Mus musculus: one gene and its partner. The protein of the gene in region 2 purifies or fractionates together with the protein of the main gene of each other region. This does not show direct contact. Links are inferred from orthologs where the notes say so. Each region holds a gene or a part of one and is shown on either strand. Other genes may lie near its edges.

Region 1 (3,183 bases), on a different chromosome or scaffold from region 2:
AAGCAGTGGGCATGAAGAGCACAGCAAATGTCTGTTATCAGAGACATACATGTTGGGCTTCCTCCTAGACCTATGTCATTCAGTTCCATCCTCCAAAGTGGTCACAATTTCCTCGGTACAACAGGCCCTTTACCATGAAGCTGTGAAGCATCTGGAAAAGAATAAGTGAAATCAGATCATTCTTTAAGTGCTCCAATTCCTTTTAGACAGCATAAACAAACTTCACAGGAAACAGAAGCAGCAATGTCCCCCGACAGCAGCTGTGTGCATTGCTACTTGCAGCATCCTGTGTCATGCATGAGCACCAGCACTTCTCAGGCAGGAGGCCATTGAGCCCGTTTACAGAACAGGCACTCTGCAACATGACGACCACACAGAATCCAGACAATGTTCATTCTCTTGCCATCAAAATGTACTCAGGTATCAGAGGTACAAAGACAAAGGTAAGCATCAAATCCACATGGAAGGGAAAGCAGAACGGAAGCAAGCCTCAGCTCACTGCTAGATAGAGTACTCCCTGACAGCCCTACAGAGCCCCACACTGTAGCACAGCTCAAAATGAAGTTCAGTCTGCTAGCCCATTTTGCATGGATGCTCTTCTGACTGCCCCATAGTTTTTCTCTTTCTCCTTGAGGTACTGGTAATGAGACAGGGCTTTATATATGCTAGGCAAGTGCTCAACCACTGAGCGACATCCGTAACTCTTCTGATAGCTTTGGAAGACCAGGGGAGGGAAACATAAAAATGGTCCAAGAAATGTTTTTTTCTTTTCCTTTCTATCAGTGTCCCTCTGCCCTTTGTTGCTGAAAATTCTACAGATGCAGAAACTGTTTCCAGTCTCTCTTCAATTACTTTGTTTCTCTCAAAAAAGGTCATTTTCAAAGCAGGTAGAGGTGGCACCATCTCATTTTTCACAGCACACAGGCTCTCCATAGCTGGGAGACACCCACATTGCACTTCACTCAAATGGTAGCCACCCACCCATGCAGAGGAAGTCCTCAGGTGTGACTGCTTCTTCAAAGAATTGACTACTGCTACTTGCTTTGCTCTTCAAAGGTCCAAAGGTTTCCCTCTGAGAAATGCAAACTCACCCTCATCCTAACAAGGCCTCTGACATCCACTCACTACAGAGTTCCCAGCTTTAGGACATGAATGCAAGGAGCTCACAGACAGATCCTAAAGCAGACAATGAGCTATGGACCCACACTGTCCATGAGCAGGTCACGGATTCATCCCTAGAGTCTGCATCTGACTCCTGCCCTAAATTCAGCCTTTCTCTCCTGATAGCCCAGGGACCTGGTTGAAACAGGTCTAAAGTACTAACAATACTAGGTCAAAATCAGGTTCTCACAGAGTTCTTTTTTTTTTTTTTTTTTTTTTTTTTTTTTGGTTTTTCAAGACAAGGTTTCTCTCTGTGTAGTCCTGGCTACAAACTCACTTTGTAGACCAGGCTGGCCTCGAACTCAGAAATCCACCTGCTTCTGCCTCCCAAGTGCTGGGATTAAAGGCGTGTGCCACCATGCCTGGCTCTCATAGGGTTCTTTAAGCCAAAATTTCATGAAGTATCTATAACTATTCTCATGCTCTTGAGCTCACAATGTACTCAGGGCTCTTAGAACTGCCTACTTCCAAAAGCCCCATTCTGTCAGGAGGCCCTGGCCTCATTGCAGGTGTGCTTCCCAATCTGTTTCAAGGGAGCTTACACCAGGGAGGCCTAAAAGCTGCTTCTGTTTCAGAGCTGTGCCAGCTTCAGAGATCGAGGCCTTTCCTTCACAATCATGTACTATGGCCTCTCACTGTCCTATGGATACTTACACTCTTTCAAAGAGTCTCTACCATCTGACAATGCCTGGAGGTTATGTAGCATTGCACCATAAAGGCTCTAAAGTGCTTGGTTAACCTCTGGACAAGTAACACCATTACCTTTCTTCTCTTTAAATGCATTAGGGTTGGAACACCTGTTTCATGCTCATGCTCCATCATATAGCGTCACACAGGCTAAGTCTGACCCAATGACCAGTCCAATAAGAAACCAGGGAAAGTCTCTGGTAGTATAGGCCTGTATTATTCTGGAACCCAAAAAGCCATAGCCTCAAAATACAAAGCAAAATACAAAACAGAGATGATAAGGCAGAGATGGCTAATAGCGCCAGCAGCAAAGCACCTACGGGTGGAGGAGTGTGGCGCACAGAGTGCACAGCACGCTGCCCACCTGGCATTTACCTGGCAGGCTCTGTGGGACATGGGTAGACACAGCAGCATGTGGGAGAGGCGCTGTGTGGGGTGGGCTGGAGTGCAAACCAGCCAGAAGACCTGAGAGAAACAGGAGGGGAGAGAACAAAACACACACATTGAAGACAGAACAGAAAAGCAGTTTGGGAGATCTAGAGCCCCAGGCAACCTGCAGACCAGTCTGGAACAAAACAGCTATCCCGGGTACTATGCAGCTTCCAGAGGTGGGGGATGTTCCCATGGTTACACCAAACACATACAGGACCCAACATGGCACACAACATAGGAACAGAGGCAGGAGACAAGAACTTACTGTGGCTGAGGCCATGGTGGAAGGTCCCAGGGGCTGGACCTGTGACAATGGCATCCTTAGAGACTCCTGCTTTGGCAGAGGAGTCTGCATTGAAGGAGAGTACATGAAGTGGAAATTGGGTTATGATTCCCAGTGAGTTTGAGTTCATAGCCCCTGGAAGCTTGGGGTTGTTGGACTTATAGGATGAAGACAGCAGGCTTAAGGAAGAGGTGTTGGACAGCAGCACTGCCCCGCCAGTTCCTTTCTGGGGAGGAAACACACACAGTCAGAACCTACCCTGTGAAAGAACCTACTACTTAGCACCCAAAGGAGGAATTAGGAAGTCTCTATGAGCCAGCATCTAGGGGATTCCAGGGTACAGAGGTAATTTTAGCTACATTCCCAAGGGTTCCAACACCCTTTTCTGGCCTCTGTGGGTACCAGGTATGCACATGGTTCATATACAATACACATGCAGACAAAACACTTATACACATAAAATAAATAAAAAAGTTATCTCCGTGATAAATTTTAATTCTAGATAAAACCAAAGCTTCCATAAATATAAACAGTGTGGCAAGTTTCTCATTTAAAAAGATCCAACTAAAGCCCAGCAGTGGTGGCACATGCCTTTAATCCCAGCACTCAGGAGGCAGAGG
Region 2 (3,817 bases):
GCTGGCTGGCTGTGAGTCCTCAGGTTCTGTCCGTCTTGTTACCGGAGCACTGGGGTCAGACCTGAGGTTTCTGATTTTTAGTTATGCATATGGATATGCGTGCATGTGCAAATGGGTGCAGGTGCCCCTGGAGGCCAGAAGAGGGCGTCAGAGCTTCTGGAGCTAGAGTTACAGGTGGTTGTGAGTTGCCTGACATGGGAACCGAGCTGTGTCCTCTACAGCAGCTGAGTACTCTAGCACCGAACTCTCGGGTCCCAGCCCGGTTCTCTCTCAACACTGTTACAAAATTCAGGGTTAGTTTTGGAGGGTATAAATAGTACTCTAGCCACAGAACTCTCCAGTCACCCCTTCTTTGTTTTGAGCACACTGTGTAAAAAACAGACGTGAAAGTTTGTTGTTGTTTTCATAAAATCTCAAACGTTCGATTTTGCCAATAAACTCTCCAGACAGGTGCTAGGGTGAAAGCCTGCTAGCCCAGAGAGGCAGAGAAAGCACCCAGCCTACCTTCCTCCACAGCTGATGTCCCAAAGAGAGAAACAAGTTCTCCTCCACCCTGGCTCAAAATCTCTCAAACTGAATGTCCCTCCCTTCTACTTCCCGTGTGTCTTTCTCTCTGTCCTCCTGACTTTCTCTCTGGTTTTCCTATATTCACTCCCTGTCATCTGGTTGCTTGCTCTTCCTCTTGATCACTGGTTGACTTTATTTAATCATGTTTACAGAAGTCAGAAAGCTCTTGGATTAAGAGTGTGCTAGGGCTGAGCCACACCATAACTATAAACAGGTTTTTCCAGTGAATAACAGAATCTCAGGGTTTACAGTGTGATCAAATATCCTGCAACAACAAATGTTTTTCTTTTATAATGCCAAAGACAATAATAATAAAATAATGATAATAGCAATAATTTCACAAGTTATGGCAGTTTCAGTGACACCAGTTTGGCAGGTGCTCCCACTTTCCTTGATAACCCTGGCTGAGGTGAACACAGATTGTTTTTTCTCATGCTAGTTACTAATATTAATTTTAGGGTACACATTATGAATTACACAGTGACCCTTTTGCTATGGTGACTGTCTCCATACAGGAGCATGCCTCTGGCAAAGGATCGCTTTCCTTCGCTCCTCTCCAGAGGAGAGAGGCTACAAACGCCTGGAGCAGAGCCCCAGTTCCTGCTTTATGCATGTGACATGTCCAGGTTGTTAGGAAATGACCGTGGTTTTAGCCGTGTGCAACTTGGGCGTTGGCTGCTTCACCTCCCTCTCTCAGCCTACAGGCAGAAAGCCAGGTTTCCAGGAGGTTGCTCCTCCTGTAGGAAGCAGAACCCAAAGTACCCTGAATCCAGGTGAGTGGGAAAAGCATCCAAAGGAGCACGCTCATAGGACGGACACATACATACCCACACACGCACACGCACGCACACACACGCGCGTGCGCGCACTTCATGGTTGCTGTCAAGGGTTAAGAGGCCACAGCAGAGTTTAAGAGGTTTCCTGAGAAGTAAAGAAGTTGATAAAACACAAATAGTCCACCTCTGTGGAAGCTGTTGTGAGTCAGACTGCTGCTGTCCTGGGTTTGAGAGCGAAGCTGCAGAGGGAGTGGGGAAAGGGCAGTACTGGGTCTGGGTGATCAAACGGAAACATGGACAGAAAGTCCAGACAAACAGGAGAGCAGGTTCTCAGTAGCTGGGACACAGATGAACTGAAGCTCCTGGCAAAGTTGGGAGTGGCCTGCCGGGCACACCAGGTGGTCAGGTGATGCGTTGGTAGGGGCTTTGCCAGTGCAGTGCTTGGTAGGTGCCAATCTTTTCCCTTAGTGTGGTGTGTCTGCTATATTCTTGGGCCTAGCTTTCCTGGTAAAACTTTACTATGCCCATGTGCTCCTACAGTCCCTAGGTCACCCCATACATTTATAGGGTGGCAACCTTTCTACTCTGTTATCTGTCTGTTATGTGGGCTGTGCTAGACAGATGTGTGGTTCCCATGTCCACCATGAATAGCCATCCTCCATTCTCAAAGTGGGAGTCAAAGCTGCTTATAAAACGGAGTCTCTGAGGGCCAGGCACAGCTTTAAAAAACCCGTATTTTATACCATGTAGACCAACTTGGAGCAGGGCACTCAGCCCTATGCCAGTGTTCTCCTTACCTGCTGATCTATTGTCTCTATTCCAGATGTGTCACATAACTGGATGCAGACAGTATTGACTGTTTTGCACATGACATCGTTTATTTAGCTTGGTTTTAAAGGTTCCTTCATGTTGCAGCATACATTATTTGTTATGAATGGACATTGTTTCTTTACAGATTTTCCCCATTTTATTTATCAGTTTTTAGCTATTGTGTGACCCCACCTTTAGCTCTTGAATACTGCTGCTGTGTCCATTTATAACCAAGTTTTGGTGTGGACATGTTTTCCTCTGAGTAGATGCATAGGAGTGGAGTTCCGGATCATATGCTAATTCTGTCTGAGATTTTGAGAAAGTGCCAATATGTTTTCCTTAGGGGCTGTTTCATATTTCCAGGAGCAACATAGGAAGTTCTAATTTCTCTACTGTCTTACCGATCCCATCATCATTTATAGTCTTCAAACTGGTTTATTTCCTGTTTTGTTTTTCCCTTCCTTATATTTCTCACACAGGTGGGCCTGAGCACTGTGCCGTTCCGTTCCTGGCTCCTCCTGAACCCTTCTGTCCTGTTTGCTCTGCAGGGGACTGTCGTGTCCCAGGGATGGGAAGTGATCCTCCGTGGTGGTGCTGAATCTCTGAATATGGTAAGACCTGATCCCTGCCTAAGTTGTTGGTGACAGTGTTGTTTGTCACTCTGCTCCTGGGGGCTAGGGGCATTTTTCCTGTGCAGCCTTTCTCCAGGAAGGCTGTTGGTACACCAGTGGGTGAGGATGCTTGTCTGGCTGTTGCTTGTAAGTCTTTAGTCATACTTGTAGGAAAGACACAAAATTGATGTTTTATTGGAATTGTTACTCTAATACCCAGGTCTTCTATGTTGAGTAGAAACTGGGGCTCCCAGCCTCTGTTCCTTTGAGGTGGACAGTATCCAGGATATACTTTCCACTCTTGCTGGGTATTGTCCCATCGACGGATTCACATCCTGGTTTTTTCCTCAGATGATTGTTGGTGGTTCTTCCTCCATAGTTTTTCATAGCCTAGAATAAATATTCTGAAGCATAATTGTATTCATCTGAGCACTGTGCTGCTATTCCTCTGAATTCCTTCCTAGATTCGAATTGCAGCCTTAAATGCCAGCTCCACGATTGAGGATGACCATGAAGGAAGCTTCAAAAGTCACAAAATCCAGACAAAGGAGGCTCAGGTATGCACTCTGAGGTCTGCTTCCGAGGAAGCTCCTGCTGCTCAGCTTAAATGAATCCCTTGTGTCCTCAGAGGAGTTGTAAGGGGGATGGCGCGCTGCAGACGGCCGCCTCTCCACCTCAGGTCGGACTTGTTTCCCTCGGGAGATGGTCATGCTGAAGAACTAACTGAATGCTCTTTGTGTTGTTGCCTTTTACCTACCACCTGCCCTCCCCCTTGTGTGTGCGTGCGTGCGTGTGCACACGGGACTCTACAGTAATGAGGTCTGAGCACTGAGTAGTAGATTTTCTTTGACTGCAGAGGCTGTAGCTGACAGCTTAGCAGTCACTCAGAGCCTCCCTTTGCGTACATTTGGATGTGAAAGGCTCTGTTCTGTGTGCTGGGAAGACGTCTCCACGTGAAAGGCTCTGCTCTGGGTGGTGTGACGTCATCTCCTTCTTGGTTGCAGGAAGCAGAAGCCTTTGCCCTATACCACAAGGCCCTGGATCTACAAAAAC

What was found.
Region 1: the proteins of Cabin1 (region 2) and Ubn1 purify together in Homo sapiens (affinity purification with western blotting; 6 studies listed by BioGRID, with this or other methods). This does not show direct contact. The link is inferred for Mus musculus from reciprocal best matches to the Homo sapiens genes CABIN1 and UBN1.

Annotation. Positions count from the first base shown.
Region 1 is NC_000082.6:5,081,024-5,084,206, reverse strand, and holds part of Ubn1 (ubinuclein-1), read right to left. Parts: intron 2,790-3,183; coding exon 2,546-2,789; intron 2,314-2,545; coding exon 2,224-2,313; intron 152-2,223; coding exon 102-151; 3' UTR 1-101. UniProt on the Homo sapiens protein: Acts as a novel regulator of senescence. Involved in the formation of senescence-associated heterochromatin foci (SAHF), which represses expression of proliferation-promoting genes. Binds to proliferation-promoting genes.
Region 2 is NC_000076.6:75,754,316-75,758,132, reverse strand, and holds part of Cabin1 (calcineurin-binding protein cabin-1), read left to right. Parts: intron 1-2,632; 5' UTR 2,633-2,761; coding exon 2,762-2,764; intron 2,765-3,228; coding exon 3,229-3,321; intron 3,322-3,768; coding exon 3,769-3,817. UniProt on the Homo sapiens protein: May be required for replication-independent chromatin assembly. May serve as a negative regulator of T-cell receptor (TCR) signaling via inhibition of calcineurin. Inhibition of activated calcineurin is dependent on both PKC and calcium signals.